Linked DNA regions of Macaca mulatta. The protein of the gene in region 1 binds, or shares a complex with, the protein of each later gene. Links are inferred from orthologs where the notes say so. Each region holds a gene or a part of one and is shown on either strand. Other genes may lie near its edges.

Region 1 (11,451 bases):
AGGGAGGAGGGGCTGGGCCTGGACTCCTGGGATGAGGGAGGAGGGGCTGGGGGCCTGGGCTCCCGGGTCTGAGGGAGGAGGGGCTGGGGGTCTGGGCTCCCGGGTCTGAGGGAGGAGGGGCTGGGGGTCTGGACTCCCGGGTCTGAGGGAGGAGGGGCTGGGCCTGGACTCCTGGGATGAGGGAGGAGGGGCTGGGGGCCTGGGCTCCCGGGTCTGAGGGAGGAGGGGCTGGGGGCCTGGACTCCCGGGTCTGAGGGAGGAGGGGCTGGGGGCCTGGACTCCCGGGTCTGAGGGAGGAGGGGCTGGGGGCCTGGACTCCCGGGTCTGAGGGAGGAGGGGCTGGGGGCCTGCGCTCCTGGGTCTGAGGGAGGAGGGGCTGGGGGTCTGGACTCCTGGGTCTGAGGGAGGAGACACTGGGGGTCTGGACACCTGGGTCTGAGGGAGGAGGGACCGGGGGCCTGGGCTCCTGGGTCTGAGGGAGGAGACACTGGGGGTCTGGACACCTGGGTCTGAGGGAGGAGGGGCTGGGGGCCTGCGCTCCTGGGTCTGAGGGAGGAGACACTGGGGGCCTGAACTCCCGGGTCTGAGGGAGGAGGGGCTGGGGGTCTGGACTCCTGGGTCTGAGGGAGGAGGGGCTGGGGGTCTGGGCTCCCGGGTCTGAGGGAGGAGGGGCTGGGGGTCTGGACTCCTGGGATGAGGGAGGAGGGGCTGGGCCTGGACTCCTGGGATGAGGGAGGAGGGGCTGGGGGCCTGGGCTCCCGGGTCTGAGGGAGGAGGGGCTGGGGGTCTGGGCTCCCGGGTCTGAGGGAGGAGGGGCTGGGCCTGGACTCCTGGGATGAGGGAGGAGGGGCTGGGGGCCTGGGCTCCCGGGTCTGAGGGAGGAGGGGCTGGGGGCCTGGACTCCCGGGTCTGAGGGAGGAGGGGCTGGGGGTCTGGACTCCCGGGTCTGAGGGAGGAGGGGCTGGGGGTCTGGACTCCCGGGTCTGAGGGAGGAGGGGCTGGGGGCCTGGACTCCCGGGTCTGAGGGAGGAGGGGCTGGGGGCCTGGACTCCCGGGTCTGAGGGAGGAGGGGCTGGGGGCCTGCGCTCCTGGGTCTGAGGGAGGAGGGGCTGGGGGTCTGGACTCCTGGGTCTGAGGGAGGAGACACTGGGGGTCTGGACACCTGGGTCTGAGGGAGGAGGGACCGGGGGCCTGGGCTCCTGGGTCTGAGGGAGGAGACACTGGGGGTCTGGACACCTGGGTCTGAGGGAGGAGGGGCTGGGGGCCTGGACTCCTGGGTCTGAGGGAGGAGACACTGGGGGTCTGGACACCTGGGTCTGAGGGAGGAGGGACCGGGGGCCTGCGCTCCTGGGTCTGAGGGAGGAGACACTGGGGGCCTGAACTCCCGGGTCTGAGGGAGGAGGGGCTGGGGGTCTGGACTCCTGGGTCTGAGGGAGGAGGGGCTGGGGGCCTGGACTCCCGGGTCTGAGGGAGGATGGTGTAGGGGTCCCTCCATGGTGGGTTCATTGAGGGGTCCCTTCTTCCTGCCCCCCACCCCAGGCCCAAGTCATTCACACCCAGGAGTTCCGACGCTGGCGGGACACAGGCGTCGCCTTTGAACTCAGGGACTCCAGCGCCTATCACGTGCCCAACCGGACCCTGGCGTCGGGTCGCCTCCTGAGCTACGTGCGTGTCCACTGCCTGTCCTGGCCCACTGCTGCTTCTCGGAGACCCAGGAGTCAGGGTCCCCAGCCTCGACCTCACCCGCCTCCTCTCTCCCTCCTTTTCCAGCGCGGGGAGCGCGTGGCAGCGCGCGGGTACTGGGGGGACATCGCCACAGGGCCCTTCGTGGCCTTCGGCATCGAAGCCGACGACGAGAGCCTTCTGCGGACCAGCAACGGACAGCCGGTCAAGGTGCGCGGCGAGGCTGGGACTGGGGGTGGGAGTGGGGCTGGGGGTGGGGCTGGGGGTGGGGGTGGGGGTGGGAGTGGGGCTGGGGGTGGGGTGGGGCTGGGGGTGGGAGTGGGGCTGGGGGTGGGGCTGGGGGTGGGGGTGGGGCTGGGGGTGGGGGTGGGGCTGGGGGTGGGGCTGGGGGTGGGAGTGGGGCTGGGGGTGGGAGTGGGGCTGGGGGTGGGGCTGGGGGTGGGGGTGGGGCTGGGGGTGGGAGTGGGGCTGGGGGTGGGAGTGGGGCTGGGGGTGGGGCTGGGGGTGGGGGTGGGGCTGGGGGTGGGGTGGAGCTGGGGGTGGGTGGGTGCGCAAGACCCCGCCTCCACCGCAGGCCCCGCCCCAGCTCCAGACCCAACCCGTCGCTGGGCGGGGACGACTCCATTCAGGGAACAGGCCCCATCCCCGCGGGATAGGTCTCGCCCCACTTCACATCCTCCAAGCAGCTGCGGGAGTTCTAGTCCTGGACCGAGGACTCCCCGCGTTCTAAGCCCCGCCCCGCCATCCCGGCCCCGACGTCTGGCCACGCCCCTTCTACCCCTAGACTGCCGGGGAGATCACGCAACACAACGTGACAGAGCTGCTCCGCGAGGTGGCCGCCTGGGGGCGCGCGAGAGCCAGCCGGGGGGACCCGGAGGAGCAGCAGCGCTCGGAGGCAAGCCCGGAGCCAGGGACTCCAGGTAAGTCCCAGGTAGGCCAGGACTCCAGGTAAGCCAGGGACTCCAGGTAAGCCACGGATAACAACAGGTAAGCCAGGACTCCAGGTAAGTCCCAGGTAGGCCAGGGACAACAGGTAAGCCAGGGATAACAGGTAAGCCAGGGATAACAACAGGTAAGCCAGGACTCCAGGTAAGTCCCGGGTAGGCCAGGGACAACAGGTAAGCCAGGGACTCCAGCCTCCAAGTGTTTCACACTGGAGTGTGGACTGACATGATTTGGAATGCCTGGGCAAGTGACGGCTTCTTGATATTCTGTCTTTTCCTCTCTTCTCTTTCTCTCCCTTTCCTAAATTCTGAGAGCATGCTTAGGATTCTGAATTCCACTAGTAGAATTCAATCTTATCTGCAAAGGGCTAAGCTATCCAAGAATATTCTCACAGGGTGCTGGGTCCCAGCCCTCCCTTGAACACCATCCTGCACCCCGGATCCGCGCTGGGCCTCCTTCCAGCCATCCTCCAACCTGGCCCTCCCTGAGTGTCTGTCCGACAGGGCATGTCACATGTGGCCCTGGCCACCCACCCTCTTTCCCTCTCTAGTCTCAGTTGCCTGATCTGTACAGTGAGCCTCTGCCTGCTGGGCTGATCTTCCCAGAATTTTCCAGGAATCCACCTCAGAGGAAAGATTTTTTTAAAAGCTTCAAGAGGACAAAAAGTGTTATCTCCAAGTCCTGTGTGCCTGCCCAGCTCTGCCCAGCTCTATATATCTCTCTGGCTTTCTGCCCTCATGGCTCTGCCCGTCAGAGGTGACCCCTCTATCCCCTTCCTCCGGCAGCCCCCACTCCGGAATCATTCACTGTCCACTTCCTGCCGCTCAATTCTGCTGAGACTCTCCACCACAAGAGCTGCTACAATGGCCGGTTCCAGCTCCTCTATGTGGCCTGTGGGTAAGCAGGAGGCGTCTGTGCTCACAAAGACCCAGGATCAGGCCCCCAGCCCCTCCTCCCTCAGACCCTGGAACCCAAGCCCCAGGCCCTCCTCCCTCAGATCCAGGAGTCCAGGCACCCAACCCCTCCTTCCTCAGACCCAGGAGTCCAGGCCCCCAGCCCCTCCTCCCTCAGACCCAGGAACCCAAGCCCCAGCCCCTCCTCTCTCAGACCCAGGAGTCCAGGCCCCTAGCCCCTCCTCCCTCAGACTCTGGAACCCAAGCCCCTCCTCCCTCAGACCCAGGAGTCCAGGCCCCTAGCCCCTCCTCCCTCAGACTCTGGAACCCAAGCCCCTCCTCCCTCAGACCCAGGCGTCCGGGTGCCCCAACCCCTCCTCCTTCAGACCCAGGAGTCCAGCCCCTCCTTCCTCAGACCCAGGAGTCCAGCCCCAGCCCCTCCTCCCTCAGACCCAGGAGTCCAGGCCCCCAGTCCCTCCTCCCTCAGACCCGGGAGTCCAGGCCCCAGCCCCTCCTCCCTCAGACCCAGGAGTCCAGGCCCCCAGCCCCTCCTCCCTCAGACCCAGGAGTCCAGACCCAGCCCCTCCTCCCTCAGACCCAGGAGTCCAGACCCAGCCCCTCCTCCCTGGTCCCTGAGTCCAGACCCAGCCCCTCCTCCCTGGTCCCTGAGTCCAGACCTCCTGCTCCCTTCTTTCCCAGGACCCAGACTCCAGTGTTGCAGCCCCTCCTCCCTCAGTGTCTGGGTTCCCAGAGCCCCCTCCTCCCTCAGCTGAGTCTCGGCTTGTCCTCGGTCCTCACTGCAGGGTGGTCCATCTTCTCAGCCCCGAGCTTGGGGCCTGTGTGGCACCTGGAGGGAACCTGATTGTGGAATTAGCCCGGTGAGCCAGTGGGGTGGAGGGCGGGGAACATCCCGGCTGGGGATCAAAATCTGGGTCCCTGACATGGCGCTTCCCATCTGCAGATACCTGGTGGACGTGCGGCAGGAGCAGCTGCAGGGATTCAACACCCAGGTCGGGGAGCGAGCTCAGGCAGCGGGATTTGCTCCACAGACCGGGGCCAGGCCCTCAGAGACCTTCGCACGTTTCTGCAAGTCCCAGGACTCGGCTCTGGGCAGCACTGACCCAGCTGTGGAACCCAGAACTCCGTCCCTTGACGTCCTGGCCCAGCCTCTTGAAGCCAGCAGCCCAGCCCCTGAGGGCCTGACCCAGCCTCTGGAGGGCGGGACCCCACACTGGGAGCCCTGCCAGCTGCCCTCTGAGTCTCCAGGTTCACTCTCAGAGGTTCTGGCTCAGCCCCAAGGGGCTTTGGCTCTGTCCAACTGTGAGTCACACTCCAACACTGGAGTCTGACCCAACCCCTAGATACCCCTTATCTCCAACTTCCAAAGTCAGGTTGTAGGATGAGAACCCGCTGATACCATCCTAAGCTGGCTGCTAGAGTCCCCAATTTTATTCTAATCATTCCCACTCAGTACCCGCCACCCCCACCCTGGGAGTGTTGATAGAATTTCAAATTCTATTTTTGAGATTCTATTTCTAGAATTCTAGATTGTTCTCTCAGAATTCCAAATTCCACTTCTGAGGCCCTGAACCCAGTCTAGGATCGGACCCTGAGTCTCAAGCCCTTGACTTTGGCCCCCTTGTTCCCAGGCACCCTGTGGCTGGCTGGGGGCTGGGGTGTCTCCTCACCAGGGCCTGGTCAGCACCCAGATGGTTCAAGTAAAGCAAGTTATGTCCACCTCTCTGTGTGTCCAAGTGTCTTTCCTGTCCTATGTCCGTCTCCAGGGCTGGGAGAGAAAGACCCAGGAGTGGTGGACAGAGGAAGCCAGAAACCAGATTCCTGGGTTTCCGGGACTTGACCAGTGGGTCTAGGGAGGACAGGACTGGGGTCTGGACTGCTGGGTCTGAGGGAGGAGGGGCTGGGGGTCTGGACTCCTGGGTCTGAGGGAGGAGGGGCTGGGGGCCTGGACTCCTGGGTCTGAGGGAGGAGGGGCTGGGGGTCTGGACTCCTGGGTCTGAGGGAGGAGGGGCTGGGGACCTGGACTCCTGGGTCTGAGGGAGGAGGGGCTGGGGATCTGGACTCCTGGGTCTGAGGGAAGAGGGGGCTGGGGGCCTGGACTCCTTGTCTGAGGGAGTGGCTGGGGTCTCCCAGGGTCCTAGGACTGAGGAAGGAGGGGGCTGGGAGGTTGGGCATTCTGTGGGTCTGAGGGAGGAGGGGTCTAGGACTCCAGGATCAGAGGGAGGAGGGTCCGGAGTCCTGTGCCCCGAGGTGGCTGGTGATCCAGCTGGAGCAGGGCCCACCCCACCCCTCACGTGCCCCGTTATCTCGCATGGTGGGCAGGGGAGGAGGAGGTGACAGTATATTTAGTCTCTGTCCTCGCCCTTTATCTCAGTGTCCTCGGGGAGTCTCAAGCAGCCGGGAGGAGACTGACGGTCCCTGGGACCCTGAAGGTCACCCAGGCGGTCCCCTCACCGACCCTCCAAACGCCCCTGTCCTCACCTCCTGCCATTCCCGGCCTGAGTCTCAGCATGGCAGATAAGTGAGTGATGCCCCAAGGCAGTGGGAGTTGGGGGCGACCTCTCAGGTTCCCAAGAGGGGTCAGAGCTGAGAGGCTGGACCCCTGGCCTGTGAGGTAGGGGTAGGGGCTCTTGGTTGAAGAAAGGAAGCGGGTTTGCGAGTCAGACTCCTGGAACCAGAGGAAGGGGAAGCGGTGTCCCCCGACCTCTTGGTCAGAGGGGCTTCCGGGGGTCCCTTAGGAGACAGACAGGACACAGCCCACCACTAACCCCCATCCCCGGTTTCTCTCCTTCCAGGAGCAGCGATGCGGTGAGAGCAGCAGGCTAAGGCGTGGCTGGGACCCCCAGGGCCAGGGTGGGCGCTGCAGTGAGGGGTCTGGGGCGGGAGGCTGCAGCCCTAGCAGAGGGTGCGGTACGGTAAGGGCTGGGTGGGGTCTTGGTGGTGATGGGGTCCCCACTCCTCCAAACCCAGGCTGGGGAACCTCGCCCTGCACCAGCCCCAATCAGACGCCGCTCCTCCAACTACCGCGCTTACGCCACGGAGCCACACGCCAAGGTGGGAAGGGGCTTCCTGGGGGCCGAGTACAGGCGCTGGAAGGACCCGAGACCTTAGGAGTGGGGGGAGGAGCCAAGGCTACGAAGGGGGCGGGGACTACGCGGAGAGGCTTCAGGGGCGGAGTTTTGCAAAGGGTCACACTCGGATTGGTGACAGCCGCCTGTGGGCGTAGTTCCGTTGCCCTTGGATTTCCTTAGGGATAGATGGGAAGTGCCTATCCAAAGCCAGAGACCCGGATTGGTGGATGGGAATGAGGGGCGTGGCCTGTCATAGACTCAGGGCGCAAGTTGGAAGTGGGCCCAAATCTGGACCGGCTGGGGTTGCTGGGGGTGCCTTGAGGTCCCCTCCACCGTCGTCTCCGGATCCCCCTCCATGATGCTTCCTTGCTCCATCTCACCCTGGCAGAAAAAATCTAAGATCTCCGCCTCGAGAAAATTGCAGCTGAAGGTGAGCACGGGAGGTCCAGGGAAGGAGCAGGCACGTGCTCAGGGGGCGGAGCTTGAGAGTGGGTGGGGCTTTCGGGGTAGGTGGGCGGGAGTGGGCGGGGGTTTGGCCGCTCGGGGCGTGGCTTTATCGGGGAGTCCTGCTCCGGGTGGGGCGGGGCCTTGGAAAGGTGGAGACGAAACTCGAGGGTTTAGAAGGGCAGACGGGGTTCCCTACGCCTGGTCTTTTTCCTGATGCCCCGGGTGGGCTACGCTTCCCTCCCACCCCTCCGCAGACCCTGCTGCTGCAGATTGCAAAGCAGGAGCTGGAGCGAGAGGCGGAGGAGCGGCGCGGAGAGAAGGGGCGCGCTCTGAGCACGCGCTGCCAGCCGCTGGAGTTGGCTGGGCTGGGCTTCGCGGAGCTGCAGGTACCGGCTCCCAAGGCAGGTACTCCTGCCCAGCCTGGGATCCGAGGTTTCTAGTCCCCGGAATTCAGCAGAACAGCCTCTGTCCCCTCTTCTGCTCGGGACCCAGGCGTCCAATATGTCTGTCCTTACCCAATTCTATATGGTTCGTGGGACTCCCGGCCCCTAACACCCTTTGTGTGCAGGTCTCTGGAGTCTTGGCTCCAACCTACTCCTTCAGGATCATGTGGCCCTCCTACCCCAGACAGGGTCCAGGCCCCAGCCCCTCCTCCCTCAGACCCAGGAGTCCAGGCCCCAGCCCCTCCTCCCTCAGACCCAGGAGTCCAGGCCCCAGCCCCTCCTCCCTCAGACCCAGGAGTCCAGGCCCCAGCCCCTCCTCCCTCAGACCCAGGAGTCCAGGGCCCAGCCCCTCCTCCCTCAGACCCAGGAGTCCAGGGCCCAGCCCCTCCTCCCTCAGACCCAGGAGTCCAGGCCCCAGCCCCTCCTCCCTCAGACCCAGGAGTCCAGGGCCTCAGCCCCTCCTCCCTCAGACCCAGGAGTCCAGGGCCTCAGCCCCTCCTCCCTCAGACCCAGGAGTCCAGGCCCCAGCCCCTCCTCCCTCAGACCCAGGAGTCCAGGCCCCAGCCCCTCCTCCCTCAGACCCAGGAGTCCAGGCCCCCAACTCCTCCTCTCTCAGACCCAGGAGTCCAGGCCCCCAGCCCCTCCTCCCTCAGACCCAGGGGTTCAGGTCTCCAGGCCTCCAGGCTTCCCCCAAAAACACACACCACGTTCCTCCTCCAGGACTTGTGCCGACAGCTCCATGCCCGTGTGGACAAGGTGGATGAAGAGAGATATGACATACAGGCAAAAGTCACCAAGAACATCACAGAGGTGGGACGCATGGGCAGCTCGGGTACCTTCGGGGTAGTGAGATACCTGGTATTTGGTCTCTGCCTGACCCCTTGCAGCTGCTTTTGGCTGCACATCCCAGGAGACCCAGGACAACTGTGAGCCTGGCAGGGCTGGGGCAGAAGGATGAGTACAATATAGTCAAGGAAAGCTGTTGTAGGCAGAGGGAACAGCACATGGAAGGCCATGGGTTGGGAAACAGAAAATATCTTAGTGAACATTTTCAGGGCATCACATGTTGGTAAATTAGCTCAGGCATTGGCCAGGGAATTGTGATTTGCATGTAGCTGGACCAGGTTATGCCAGTGGTTTTGTGAGGTGAGGCTGGAGCGTATGAAGAGGGGGATTCAGTTCCAGGATTAGAAGCTTAGACTGGGAGCCTAAGCTGGGAAGAGACTGGATGAGGCCTTGGTACTGGAAGATGAGATAAGGAGAATAAAAAAGGAGTGTAGGGTGGAAGAGTTGGGTGAGGGGGAAATGGAGGCAGGAGTATCCACACCCCTGTATACTGCCTCCCCCCAGATCGCAGATCTGACCCAGAAGATCTTTGACCTTCGGGGCAAGTTTAAGCGGCCCACCCTGCGGAGAGTGAGGATCTCTGCAGATGCCATGATGCAGGCACTGCTGGGGGCCCGGGCTAAGGAGTCCCTGGACCTGCGGGCCCACCTCAAGCAGGTGAAGAAGGAGGACACCGAGAAGGTGAGTGTGGGCTAAGGCCAGGAAAGAGAATGCTGAGGGGAAGGGCTGTGGGTACCAACAACCCTGGGGCCTAGCTGGAGGGCAGACGGTGCTTGAAGTTGGGGGTAGAAGCAGCTAGCTAGTATGGGGTCCTCCAAAATGCAAGAGGAAGACAGGAAGTGCATTAGGGCTACAGGAAGTCCATGTAAGAGCAAAGAGGTGCATGAAGGGCTGGGTGCAGGGGCTCATGCCTGTAATCTTTGAGATTTAAAAATTTTTTTTTTAATTTCCTTTTTTTTTTTGAGATGGAGTCTCTGCTGCCCGGGCTGGAGTGCAATGACACCATCTCGGCTGCTGGAGTGCAGTGACGCCATCTCGGCTCACCGCAACCTCCGCCTCCCAGGATCAAGTGATTCTCATACCTCAGCCTCCCAAGTAGCTGGGACTACAGGTGCACACCACCACGATATTGTTTTAATTTCTACAAATTTCTTTTTAAAATTGATTAGTCATGGTGGTGGCATGCAGCTTCTCAGGAGGCTGAGGCAGGAAGATCGCTTGAGCCCATGAGATCGAGGGTGCAGTGAGCTATGACTGTACCACTGCACTCCAGCCTGGGCAACACAGTAAGACCCTATCTTAAAGAAGAAGACAGGAAAGACAGGAGTGGATGCCTGAAACCATGGATTGTACTGAACCCTATATATAATTTTTTTCCTATACAAACCTACGTACCTATGATAAAGTTTCATTTCTAAATTAGACACAGTAAGAGATTAACAATAAATAATAATAAAAGAAGGCTGGGCATGGTGGCTCATGCCTGTAATCTCAACACTTTGGGATGCTAAGGCGGGCAGATTGCTTGAGCTCTGGAGTTCGAGACCAGCCTGGGAAACATGGCGAGACCCCGTCTCTACAAAAAATACAAAAGTTGCCAGGTGTGGTGACTCACACCTGTAATCTCAGCGCTTTGGGAGGCCAAGGCAGGTGGATCATAAGGTCAGGAGTTTGAGACCAGCCTGGCCAACACAGTCAAACCCCATCTCTAGTAAAAATACAAAGATTCGCTGGGTGTGGTGGTGGATGCCTGTAATCCCAGCTACTTGGGAGGCTGAGGCAGGAGAATTGCTTGAACCTGGGAGGCAGAGGTTGCAGTGAGCTGAGATCTCACCACTGCACTCCAGCCCTGGCAACCGTGGGAGACTCCATCTCAAAAAAAAAAAAAAAAAAAAAAAGTTAGCTGGGCATGATGGCACACACCTGTAGTCCCAGCTACTCAGGAGTCTGAGGTGAGAGGATAGCTTGAGCGCAGGAAGTTGAGGCTGCAGTGAGTCGAGATTGCACTCCAACTTGGGTGAGGGAACCAGACCCTGTCTCAAATAATAATAATAATAGTAAAATAGAACAATTATAACATATTGTAATAAAACTCATATGAATTGGTCTCTTTCTCAAAATATCCTATGGCCCTGTAGTCACCCTTCTTTTCCTTGTGATGTGAAATGACAGTGCCTATGTGCTGAGATGAAGTGAGGTGGATGACATAGGCATTGTGACCTAGCATTAGGCTATGTCCTATGAGAATCCATCAAACTTATGAATTATTTCTGGAATTTTCCATTTAATATTTTTGGGCCATGGTTTACTGAAACCACATAAAGTAAAATTGCAGATAAGGATGAACTACTACAATAAGAAGGAAGGAGACAGGAAGTGCATAAGGCAGACAGAAAGTGTAGGGGAAAGATAGGAAGTGCAGGAAGGAGACAGGAAGTGGATAAGGAAAGACAGAAAGTACATGAGGGAGACAGGAAGTGCATGGGGAAAGACAGGAAATGCATGAGAAAAGACAGGAAGTGCTGGGGAAAGACAGGAAGTGCATGAGGGGGACAGGAAGTGCATGAGGGAGACAGGAAGTTATGGGGAAAATTGGCGGGGATTATCTTGAAAAGATGGGAAGTGCTCCAGAACTAGACACTTAGACAGGCATCCAGGGTAGAGTGGCCCCACAGGCTGGAGGGAAGACAGGGATTCTTGAGAGACTGGAGACCAGGAAGAGACCCTAATCTCTGACTCTATCGCCATCCTCCAGGAAAACCGGGAGGTGGGAGACTGGCGCAAGAACATCGATGCACTGAGTGGAATGGAGGGCCGCAAGAAAAAGTTTGAGGGCTGAGTCTTCCTACCTACTGCCCCCGCCCTGAGGAGGGCCCTGAGGAATAAAGCTTCTCTCTGAGCTGAAAGTGACTCCATGTCTATTACCCAGGGCTTAGGCAGGAGAGAGATGGGAAAACTGAGGGCAGGGCTCCCCCAAAGTCACACAGCAGGTCGGGGACCAGATGGATCTCCCATGTGGAGCACTCTTGGCTCTGTTATCAAAAAGAATTCCAGGGTTCATGAATTTGGAGAGGGGAGCTTTGTTTCTTAAGAAGCAGATCACAA
Region 2 (11,394 bases), on another chromosome or scaffold:
AGCATACAAGCCATTCCCTTACCCCTTCTTCTTTTTTTTTTTTTTTTGAGACAGAGTCTCGCTCTGTCGCCCAGGCTGGAGTGCTGTGGCCGGATCTCAGCTCACTGCAAGCTCCGCCTCCCGGGTTCCCGCCATTCTCCTGCCTCAGCCTCCCGAGTAGCTGGGACTACAGGCGCCCGCCACCTCGCCCGGCTAGTTTTTTGTATTTTTTAGTAGAGACGGGGTTTCACCGTGTTAGCCAGGATGGTCTCGATCTCCTGACCTCCTGATCCGCCCGTCTCGGCCTCCCAAAGTGCTGGGATTACAGGCTTGAGCCACCGCGCCCGGCCCCTTACCCCTTCTTAAACAAGCTTCCCTGGACCCCACATCGCCCCTCAGCTTGGGTCCCTTTCTCTGTTCCCTGGGTGTTGCCCACACCCGCCATCTCCCCTGTACTTCAGCTCACTCCTGTCAGGCTCCCACCCCTCTGCTCCACGGAAACCCTCCTGCTCAGGCGGCCGAGGCCTGGGGGCCTGCAAGTTCCCAAACCCTGGGGCCACCAGACAAACCCAAAGTGAGTGAGATTCTACAGAATAACTGGCCTGAGCTCTTCAGACGTGACGAGGAAACACGGAGGACCGTCACAGACTGGAGGGGAGTAAGGAGACAGGAGGATGAGGTCACTCTAGTGCCATCTTGGATTGGCTCCTGCTCCAGGACAAGGACTTTAGGACAACTGACAGAACTCCAATAAGCTCTGCAGATTAATTAGCAGTGTTTATGTCAATATTCATTTCCTGTGTTTGATCCTTCTGTGGTTAAAATGTTAACCACAGGGAAGCTGGGGGACCTGTAAATGGGAGTTCTTTGTACTATTTTTTGCAAGCCTGGAATTTCAAAATGAAAAGAAAAAAACAAAAAAGCCAACTAAAACCTAGTGTTGGGAAGTAACCTCCACTTCACAATACCCCACGGCTGAACCTGTGCCTCCCCCCAGCTTCCTTATCTCAGGAAATGGCAGTTTGGCCAAAAAGCTAAGGGTCATTTTGGATTTTCCTATTTCTCACCCCTCACATTCAAGCCTTCAGCAAATTCTGTCCATCCTAGTTCCAAAATGTGCCTTGAATCCATGCACCCCCGACCCCCTCTCCCTAGCATCCCACTGTACTGGGAGCCACCGGGCTTTCTTGCCCAGAGCCTGCCCCCACTTCATGCCAGCTCCTGGGACCCTCTCTCCCACCCCTTTTGTCCTCTGCAGCCCTCACCCCTCACATTGACTGGGTCCTCATGGGGCCTGGCACTGCCCACGTCTCCCAAGACTGCTGGGGCTTGGTTTCCAGCCCAACACTGCCTTTCTGCTCCTGAGACCTTCCCAGTCTTTCTCCATGGCCTCCCATGGCTGGTTCCCTGTGGTTCCCCCAGATCTCACGCACAGGCAGCTCCTCCAGGGAGCTTTCCCAGACCACTCTAACTCATGGGCCCACCACGCCTCCAGTCTCCACTCCAGCCCGTGCTGGTTTTCCCACTGTACTCATCTCCTTAAAATTCCACCAGATTTGGCTGGGCACGGTGGCTCACACCTGTAATCCCAGCACTTCAGGAGGCCAAGATGGGTGAATCAGTTGAGCTCAGGAGTTCAAGACTAGCCTGGGAAACATGGTGAAACCTCGTCTCTACTAAAAATACAAAAATTAGCCGGGTGTGGTGGCGGGCGCCTGTAATCCCAGCTACTCAGGTGGCTGAGGCACAAGAATCGCTTGAGTCTGGGAGGCAGGGGTTACAGTGAGCCAAGATTGCGCCACTGCACTCCAGTCTGGTGACAGAGCAAGACTCTGTCTCAAAAAAGAAACAAAAATCCACCAGATTAGGGACCGGGCCTCACTGTGACATGCCCCAGCATCCAGCCCGTGCTGGGCACATGGGAGGTATGTGATGAACCACTGAGTGGTACACTGGCTGGTGGTGCTGCCCAATGTGGCCCTTCCTTTTCTCCTTGGATGTCACCCTTCCTGGGTCACTCTGGGTGTCTGTAGAGGTCCCCAATTCTCCAGCTCACAAGGGCAGGCCTAAAGGGACTCCCCTCCACTCCCCTCAGGTCTCTCCAGGGACCAGAAAGTTCTCGCTAGCTCTGGCCTCCACCAGAGGCATCTTTAGAATTCCAAGACCATCTCTGGAATGCTGGGCCTGTCTGGGGAATGCCAAGGCTGGGGCACAGGTGCAGAGAGTGGAGTGGCTGGGCGGGGCAAGGACAGCTGATGGCATTCTGGCTAGAGTCTGGGTGCTGCTGGCAGCTGTCCCTCCTGCGAACACCACTGCTGACACCTCCACTTCCTTGCAGCCCCCAATGCCCATGCCCCCAAGACAGCATCACTGTCTGGCAGCAGCTCTGGACTGGGCGCTCCCACTAAGCTGAGAGCTGCCAGGCCTTGGGCCTCTGTCCCTGTCAGGGAAAGAGACTGGGCCACAGGAGACGAGCCTCTGAGGTTCACAGGAACTGGAAGTCACGCCCATTTGGATGTGGCCCATCCGACAGGGCCCTTGGCTGGAAGCCAGCTGGCTCTGCTCTCCCCCACACTCACTGGATGACCTTAACAGGTCCCTGTACCTCTCTGGGCCAAACAGGTGAGGGGAGGTAGAGCCAACTCCATGCGCCTCTGGCCCTGGGAGTCAATGTTGCTGGCAGGAAATACAAGTGAGTGGGCGGGTGAACTAGCACTGTGGGCCTGCAGGGACCCCACAGGCTCAGCTCCATTCCAGCCACGGCTGAGAGGTAACGGGGGTTGCTCTGCCAGGCAGCATTCAGGGCCTAGCTGTGTACCGCAGTGAACCACTCTCTCCAAGGAGAGAACCCCTAGGCTGCCACAGTGGTTGACCAAAGTGATGGCCCCCAGGAACTTGTAGGGGTTCTAGGCCCCCACAGACTCCAGATGCTGAATCCCTGGAGATGGTGCCTGGGCATGAGGAGTGATAGAGGGCAGCCAGCAGGGCAGGCCACACAGCAGTCTCCGATCTCATCTCACTCCCCGCAGAAGGCAGTGTGGAGTGGCGGTCAGGCACCAGGCACTGCAGCCAGCCTGCCTACGACAGGGAAGGAAGCAGTCATCGGGTAAGAGTGAGTCCTGAGGAAGAGTCCCCGGCCCAGGGACACCAGAGGCAGACAGCAGACCTCCGGGGAGCACGCTTTATTTGCATCTCCCAGGACAGAGTTGGGGAGGGAGTCAGGGGATTTGGGGTTGAGGATATGGCCAGGCTCAGGTCCTGGGACCCCAACCCCCTCCCCAACCCCAGGACTCAGCTGGAGTTGGAGGCTGGGCATGGGAAGCTCTGGGTGAAGGTCAGCATCTACTCCACACCCTTCATGAACTCCAGGAACTCTGTGGAAAGAGGGGCAGGTGTGGGTCGGGGGTGGGGGCTGGGCAGGGCATGGAGGCAGGGGACCAGCCCACCTACCCACTTACCATCATAGTCGATGCGGCCATCGTTGTTCTTGTCTCCGTCCTTCATGAGCTCCTCGATGTCGTCCTCCGTGATGGTCTCGCCTGTAGCCTGCAGCATCATCTTCAGCTCATCCAGGTCGATGTAGCCATCAGCGTTTCTGTGGGGAGGGGGCTCAGGGTAGGACTGTGGGGAGGGCATAAGGCAGCCCCACCCATGCCCCAGGAGGCAGAGCAGGGACACTGGGAGATGGGGCATCCCTCTCCCCAATCAGGCAGAGGCCGCAGGGTCCCTAGGCCTGGAATCTGAGACCGCCCTCCTCTACAGTTTGGCTTGAGTGTGGGTCAGGGTCAGAGGTCAAGGGTCACATGCTCACTTGTCAAACATGCGGAAGAGGTCAGACAGCTCCTCCTCAGATTTCCCTTTGCTGTCGTCCTTCATGCACCGAACCATCATGACCAGGAACTCATCAAAGTCCACCGTGCCGCTGCCTGGGGGTGGGCGGCATGGCCGTTACAGAGGCCGGGGTAGGTACTGCAGGCAGCACCTTCGACATGAACCCCCATGTTCTCACCGCACCCTCACACCAAATGCCAGGCTTCTGTGGCCATTATGCCCATTTTATAGATGAGGCAACTGAGGCTCAGATAGGCAAAACCGCTCCCAGCTAAACAGAGCCAGCATTCCAGCCCCCAGCCAGCTGGGGTTCTTCTGGAGCCTGGGGAGGAGGGGGCTCACCGTCCTCGTCCACCTCGTCAATCATCTCCTGCAGCTCCTCAGGGGTGGGGTTCTGGCCCAGCATCCTCATCACCTTGCCCAGCTCCTTGGTGCTGATGCAGCCATCCTCAGCACCCAGCACGAAGATATCAAAGGCTGCCTTGAACTCTGTGTTCAGGGGTTGGGGGGCATAGTAGTCGGGGCTCAGCAGCCAGGACCTCAGAAGGCCAGAACCCTGGGGCCATCTGCCAACCTGCCCACCTCCCTCAGAGACCTCTCTGAGGTCAGAGCAAGAGGGACCAAGCCTCTGCTCTCTGGTCTGAGGTCCTCTTCTGGTAAGGGGTCCCCATGCCAGCCTGGCCCCGCTGGTCTCCCACATGTGTGATAGGGGTTCTCACCATTTTTCTGCTCTTCTGTCAGCTGCTCTACCTAGAAAGGAAAGGGATTCTCAGGGCTCAGACTCAGGTATAGCTGCTGCTGAGGAAACCAATCCATTCCACAGGTGAGAAGGCTGGAGCCGGAGGAGGCAGGCTATTTCCAGGCCACAGGGCGGAGGTCTCAGTCCTCCCTCCCTGCCCCCAAAGCCCTGATGTGACCCAGCTGGCCTCACTGAGACTGGGCTGAGGGCCAGGGTGACAGGTGGGCACCCCCTTCAGGGCCAAGGTGACCCTCAGTAACAATAGTCAGTGACCACTCAATGCCCTTTCAGCCCCTGATGAAACTCAAGCCGGGTGGCCCGAGGGACAGCTGTCCCTCAAGTTGGGACAATAAAACCAGTGTGGGGGCAGGCGAGCCACCCACTGTAACCTGACCAGGGTGGCCACTGGGCTATTTTTAATGAGGAACAAAGTTAAACCTGGTGATTGTTCTGGGGACTTTGGCATGCAGGGGGTGGGGCAGCGTTATCTGGCCCCCTGGCCTGCTAGTGCCGCCTCAGGAGCCAAAATTAGTCCCCAGCTCCGCCAGGCCTTGTATGGGCACTGGGTGGAGGGCTGCCCCCACTCCAGCTCCATGGATTCCCACAGGATAAGCAGGCGTGCCCCCAGAGCTGGCTGTAGCACTTCCCTGCCCAGGAGTAAGGGAGGCTGAGGGAGGGGTTCCCCTGGGGACAGCTGTTCATTCCAGGATGTCCTTGCTCTGGGGTTGGGGGAGGTCACCACCACCCCTGGATAGAATAGCATCTGAAGACCCCCAGTGACCCAGGAGGCTGCAGGGGCTTGGGGTGACCACTCTCCAGCCCTTGTTCCCTCGCTCTCACCCCTATCTAAGCCACTGAGCGCTGAGCCTGCCAGGCATGATGGGAGCTGGGGCCCCAGTTCTCTGTTCCTTCTTCCTTGGTTTTCCCTCATGTCCAGAACTTCCCTGCCTCAAACTTCAAAGCCCCATCTCCAGCCCAGGACTCAAGCTCTGCAGCCCACTCCTCTCACACCCTCCACCTCCCAAAGCATCTTCGGCCAGTCAAGGGGCTGGAGTGGGGTAGCAGATTTTGAGCATGTGAGAAGCATAATGTGAGGGGCAGAAATGGGGGTTGGGGACAGGGAGACAGTAATGGGGACTCAGACAGCTCAGGAGGAAGAGATGAAAAGAGAAAGGCAAAAATGTCCAGAGACAAATGCAGAGACATGTGGCTGAGCGACAGTGCCTCAGACTACAGACACTTGGAAACAGAGAGTGAGACATGATGCTGAAAGCTGCGACATCCTCCACCACCCTTCAGAACCTGAACTCCCATCCCTTCTGCATCCCCAAACACCAGAACCACTGTCCCTGTGACAGCCTGGATTGAAGGCACGTAGGCTTTCTCCTGGGTCCCCACCACTTCCCTGGGGCTACTGGCCTCCCATTCTGAGCTGAGTGAGCCCCCAGTGGGCCTGCCCACCCCAGCCCTACCCAGCCCTGTCCCTCACCGCAGCCTTGTAGATGTCATCCATGCTGGCGGCTCACAGGACAGCCTGCTGGGGTTGCCAGCCGGCCCTTGACTTAAATAGCCCTGCCCCACCGCATTCCTGGCCCAGCCCAACCCAGCCCAGCCCATCCCTGCATGTAGTATCCTCCAGTCCCTCCTCTGGTCCCAGTGATCTCAGGCTGGCCTGAGTCCCCGTGTCCTCTGCCCAGGGCAGGAAGCAGATGAAGGGCTACAAGGACCAGGTTTCTTTCCCTCCTGTCCCCCACACTCCCCAAGGGACTCTCTGAAAAGGTTTCTGGAATGAATGAAAACATGAGTCCAGTGCAGGACAGGAGTTACGAAGTCGTGGGCCCTAGGCAAGGCCCGGGCAACACAGCAGCTCAGGCTCCCATCCAACCAGGGAGGCGGGTGCCATGACCACCACTTTCCAGATAAGGAAATTGAGGCTCTGGAGGAGTGGTGACTTGCCCAAGATCTGACTGACTTGGCAACCCCTGCCTTTAACTCAACCTCTCTGGAATGGGGGTGCAACGTGCAAGGAGAGGCTGGGAGTGCAGGGCCCTGCCAAGAGAAGCCTTGAATATCAAGCTCATAGTACGATGCTGTGGAACTGGTGAAGGAGGAAGTGACTGATCCACCTTAGGACAGGGTGGCCAGGAGCCTTCTGCCAGAGGAGCCTGCCCCAGACCTCCCATCCGCCCAGGGAGAAGTACTCACTTCGGGCTTAAGTCAGCTGCTGTCAGTTATTCAACAGCACCCCTACAGATGCCCCATCTGTGGCAGGCTCCTTTCCTCCTCACCCTCTAGTTAGGTTACCACCTCCCTCTTCTAGGTCTCATTTTTCCTTGGTTTAGGACTCAGTTCCCCATTCTAGCACTGTAGTTCCTGGGTCCAGGTCAATCTGTCTCCCTCGTTTTAAACTCTGGCAGGCCACCCCGTGGGGTTCTTGTGCTCAGTGGCGGCACACACCCCTCCATCCACCTACACCCTCCTTCGTACAGAGTTCGTATCAAGTTTATCCCTCTTGATAAACACGCTCCCTGCCTCGAGCACTACTGCGTGCCGGGCCGCGCATGAACCGACCCACTCAGTTGTCCAGGAGCCCCACTGACAAGAGATCTCCGAGTCTCGGAGAGGTTCAGAACTGGCCCAGAATCGTTCTCGCCCTGCTCCGGCGGTAAGCACAGGTCCTGTTTTCCCCTCCAACCCGCCTTGCCCTAAAGAGAAAGAGCTCAACAGCCAGGTGAGGCACTATTATGGCCTCCTTTATCCGGAGGAGTAAACTGAGGCCAGGAAGAGCAGTGACTTGCTTCGTGTAGCCCGGAAGGCTCGAGACCTTCTGTCCCCTCTTCCCGAGGACGGAGGGGCGATGCCCAGAGCTGTAACCACCAGGGGTCTCAGTTTCTAGCAGGTTGCGCAGTGTACCTCCCGCCGCGCCAAGCAGGTAGAGATTACGCAAGCGAGCACCGCGCACGCGCGCGCTGTGGGTGGTGCCTGTCAATCACGCACGAGGGGCGGGGCGAGGGCGCAGGAAGAAGGCGGGGCCAAGATGGCGGCGCAGCGCGCGGCGGGGGCGTGGGGCGGCGGGGGCTGGGGGGCGGTGGGACGTTGACCCCGCCCCCTACTGCTGCCAGTCTGCGCCGGGCGGCGGCGGCGGCGGAGACCCGAACATGGCGACGCTGCGCACCTTCGGGCCCGAGCGGGAAGCCGAGCCGGCCAAGGAAGCTCGCGTCGTGGGCTCGGAGCTCGTGGACACTTATACGGTTTGTTGGGGGCGCGGGCACCTGAAGCGGGGGTGGTGGCTGGGACCGGGAGTCCGACTTGGGGGCTTGGGGAGGGGTTCGGGATCTGCAACCCTGAGGAGCGGGTAGAAGGGTCTGCGATTGCGAGGGGGCTGGGACGGGGGATCTAAGGAAAGGGATCTGGGCCTCGCAGGTTCGGGTGAAGGGTTGCTCGGGGCCTGGGGAGGCGGTTTGGAAAAGGGTACGCGATCAGAAAGGGAGGCTCGGGTTGGGGGCGGCATCTGGGGATAAAGGGGGCCTGGGGAGGGGGGTGTCTAGATGAGGCGAAACGCCTCTAGATCCTCTAGGACTGGAGGGGCCCCGGCCTGAGAGACCGTTACTGGGGTTCAGGAGAAAGGCGATGGGGAGAGGGTCTCTGATGGATGGAATCAGGGAAAAGGGTCAGGCTCCGCAGGCCTTGAAGAAAGAGAAGGCGCCAGCACCCTGATCTGGGAAGCCTGCGGTGGTGGTTGAGATTTTCTCTGAGAAGTGAAGGATAGACCTGGGGGGCAGACGCCTTGGGGGTCGGGCGGAGACAAGAACGGAGGACGGGTGGAGCCCAGCTGTGGAGAAATAGGGGTGGTCTCAGTGCTGAAGCGCAGGCCCTATAAACCTTAGGAATCTTCGTGACTTTGGGCTGTGGGAGCGAGATGGGGCAACAAGCTGCGCACACACACTTCTAAGCTATGGGGGAGACAGAGGACAAATGGGGGGTAGTTTCCGACTCTGATGGGGTTGGATGCCAGGCCTGTGAGCCTGGTGGGCTGCCTGGCAAAAACTAGGCATTGAGCACCTCCCTGCTTCATCCCCTTTGTTCCCGCAGGGTAGGGAGTGGGTGGGGGCCTTGGCCCTGCCTGCACCCCCCTCCCTGGCCCTCATCCTAACCTCCCCCTCTGAGGGCCATTCATCAGGCTCTTTTCTCCTTTCCTGAGGGCAAAGGGAAGGAATCAGGCAGGATGGGAAGAGGAGAGGGGTGGATCCTGGAGCAACAGGCCAGCCTGGAGAAATGGCTGCTCCTCAGGGCTGGAGAAGGCTTCAGCTCCATGCTGCAGAGAGGAGAGGGAAACTAGGTGCAGGAGGCGGGTGAGGTCCCTGAGCTGATGGCTGGCACCTTCAGCAAGAGGGCCATCTTCAAAAAGCTCTCCCTATTCTGGACTGCACCCCTCCTCTGCATGTGTGTCGGGGGAGGTGGTGATCTAGATTGGACCCTACCATCCTCTGTCTCCGGGTGTGCCGGGTTGGATATTATGAACACACCTACCCTTTGAACACTTGCCATGGGTCAGGCCCATGGACAAAGCATTTTACATGCATTGCCTTACTTGGTCCTTGATTCTAAGATGGAGGAACTGAGGCTCAGAGAAAACTTAGGCTCCAAGTTAATTATATAAGTGACACATAAGCTGCAGCCAGGAAATGACAGAACCAGGTTTTTAACCCAGGCCTTCCTTAACCTCTAGGCCATATTGCCTCCTGATAGAGCTTAGTTGCTACCACTCCCTCCCCACATCAGCTGCTTGTGCCTTGATTCCTGGCTCAGTAGCAGAAATCACAGCCATGAACCAGTTGAAAGGGTTGGAAAAGGACTTGCTTCCAGGAGGGTAGGGCACCTGGAAAGAAGTACAACAGAGAAGATGCTCAGGCTACAACTGGCCCTCCTCTGCCTCCCTTGGAAGAAATGGCCTTGCCTGCAGCTCGGGTTGGGTTTTGAGTTACCTAGAGGCAGGTGGTAAAAAACTAAAGAGGTGACTTGTTGTGGTAATCACTTTTTTCATTCCTTACTGATGGATGGAGCCACAGGCTTGTCCCATGTGCCTCCCAGCCCTACTGCTTGGGCCATGGAGGAGGCTGAGAGGGGCCCTGCTGGTCAGCAAGGGTCAGGTGCAGAGGCTAGTGGGCAGGGGCAGCCTGACTTTGGCCTTGGGGTGGGTCTGAGTTGCAGAGAGAAAGACTGATAAAAGATAATTGGGAAAGGTAATTGCAGCTTTTGCTATAGGGGGAGGAGACTCCTTGTTGGGGCTCCCTTGCTACAAGGGCTTTTGGTTTCCCATTTTAGGTTTACATCATACAGGTCACTGATGGCAGCCATGAGTGGACGGTAAAGCACCGCTACAGCGACTTCCATGACCTGCATGAAAAGGTAACTGTTAAGAGCTGGGAGCACATATTTCAGGGCTGGAGGGTCCTGTAGGCCAAGTTTCCATTGTGCCACACGTTAGTTTTAGGGCAAAAGAGGCTCCATGTCCATAGTTCTTAATAAATCACTTTGTTAATATAACTGCGTTCATTAATATAGCATGTAAATGCTAGCCTTCAGCTCTAGCATGAGCCAGTCTGCAAGGAGCATATTTGAATTTCAGTTTTAATATTTCCAGTCCTAGCTTGGATACGAGATGCTGAGACAGTTTCCTGGGAAGGGGACAGGTTTGAACTTGTTCGACCTAGCTATGGCTATTCCAAAGCCTGTGCTGTAATATCTGGCTGTGATTCCATCTTTGCTTTTGGAGATGCTGTCTTTCTCTGGGTCATTTACAGCGTGTTTTAAAGACACACCACTGCCCTAATTGGTTTGTACTCTGGCTTGGAAAAGATGGCAATTTTAGGGGCAAAAGGTGTTACTTTTCTGAATGTCTCCAACGTCTCCAGATGGAATTCCTTGTCTGGAATTGTATTGGTATTTCTAATGCTAATTTGGATTGAAAGAGGCGAATCCCAGGTGCCCTCGTTTGGTCACTGATCTTGGTACTGCAGGGAGGGGCTGTGCAAGTGCTGACAAGCGCCTGTCCTCAGGCTTCTTGCCTTGGCCTTACATAGGCACAGAGCCTCTTAGTCTGTGGTTGATGTGCTTATGTTTTTTTACAGCTCGTTGCAGAGAGAAAGATTGATAAAAATCTGCTTCCGCCCAAAAAGATAATTGGGAAAAACTCAAGAAGCTTGGTGGAGAAGAGGGAGAAGGATCTGGAGGTCTACCTCCAGAAACTCCTGGCTGCCTTCCCTGGCGTGACCCCCAGAGTGCTGGCCCACTTCTTGCATTTTCACTTCTATGTAAGTTCCTCATCGGGTTTTCACCTGTGCCTGCAAACCCACAACTGCCAAGCTTGAGGCAGCAAACCAGGGGGGACCTCAGCTTTGAGGTGGGCCGGGGTTTGACCCTAGGTTAGAAGATGGAGGAACGTCACCCTGGTTAGGGATGTGTTGTGGGCAGAAGCACGTTAGTTGACAGATTTGCCTTAAATTAGACTGAGTGTGGCCACAGAGATGCTTTCCTCTACCACAAGGCATTTTGTTTAGCAAAAATGGCCTGTGGGTGTTTAAGCTAGGTTTCCATCCAGATGGATGAGGCTGGATTAGAAACAGCTGACACCTGGGATAGACTATTGTTGAGTTGTTGTTTTACAGCTCAAAACTAATTAAGGGATTAGTCTGTGATGGTGGAATATCACCATCTTGGGACATGTAATCGGGGTCCACGCTGCCAGGGTGCTAAGGTTGAGGGTAGATAATTTCTTCTGATGGGAGAGTGTGTCGTAGAACAGCTCTGTACTCCGTCCTGGACAGAAGAACAACTTTCGTAAG

Evidence for each region.
Region 2: the proteins of TNNI3 (region 1) and TNNC1 are in contact, whole or in part, in a crystal structure (PDB 4Y99), measured with the Homo sapiens proteins. The link is inferred for Macaca mulatta from reciprocal best matches to the Homo sapiens genes TNNI3 and TNNC1. Residues at the interface, in NP_000354.4 of Homo sapiens: Glu32, Pro33, His34, Ala35, Lys36, Lys37, Lys38, Ser39, Lys40, Ile41, Ser42, Ala43, Ser44, Arg45, Lys46, Leu47, Gln48, Leu49, Lys50, Thr51, Leu52, Leu53, Leu54, Ile56, Ala57, Lys58, Glu60, Leu61, Glu64, Arg136; in NP_003271.1 of Homo sapiens: Asp3, Ile4, Lys6, Ala7, Glu10, Gln11, Thr13, Glu15, Gln16, Glu19, Phe20, Ala22, Ala23, Ile26, Phe27, Val44, Met45, Leu48, Gln50, Glu59, Met60, Glu63, Glu66, Asp67, Gly68, Asp73, Asp75, Glu76, Phe77, Met81.

Annotation. Positions count from the first base shown.
Region 1 is NC_133424.1:67,467,331-67,478,781, reverse strand, and holds TNNI3 (troponin I, cardiac muscle), read left to right. Parts: upstream 1-5,898; 5' UTR 5,899-6,049; coding exon 6,050-6,060; exon of another isoform or gene 6,061-6,080; intron 6,081-6,334; coding exon 6,335-6,347; intron 6,348-6,509; coding exon 6,510-6,593; intron 6,594-6,998; coding exon 6,999-7,040; intron 7,041-7,311; coding exon 7,312-7,443; intron 7,444-8,220; coding exon 8,221-8,310; intron 8,311-8,850; coding exon 8,851-9,027; intron 9,028-11,101; coding exon 11,102-11,185; 3' UTR 11,186-11,252; downstream 11,253-11,451. Other genes in the region: DNAAF3 (dynein axonemal assembly factor 3), read left to right, coding at 1,540-1,665, 1,771-1,893, 2,468-2,603, 3,414-3,525, 4,325-4,399, 4,483-4,870. UniProt on the Homo sapiens protein: Troponin I is the inhibitory subunit of troponin, the thin filament regulatory complex which confers calcium-sensitivity to striated muscle actomyosin ATPase activity.
Region 2 is NC_133407.1:115,994,824-116,006,217, forward strand, and holds TNNC1 (troponin C, slow skeletal and cardiac muscles), read right to left. Parts: upstream 6,161-11,394; 5' UTR 6,063-6,160; coding exon 6,039-6,062; intron 4,561-6,038; coding exon 4,530-4,560; intron 4,300-4,529; coding exon 4,153-4,299; intron 3,906-4,152; coding exon 3,791-3,905; intron 3,575-3,790; coding exon 3,438-3,574; intron 3,354-3,437; coding exon 3,322-3,353; 3' UTR 3,147-3,321; downstream 1-3,146. Other genes in the region: NISCH (nischarin), read left to right, coding at 7,708-7,800, 9,875-9,958, 10,681-10,863. UniProt on the Homo sapiens protein: Troponin is the central regulatory protein of striated muscle contraction. Tn consists of three components: Tn-I which is the inhibitor of actomyosin ATPase, Tn-T which contains the binding site for tropomyosin and Tn-C.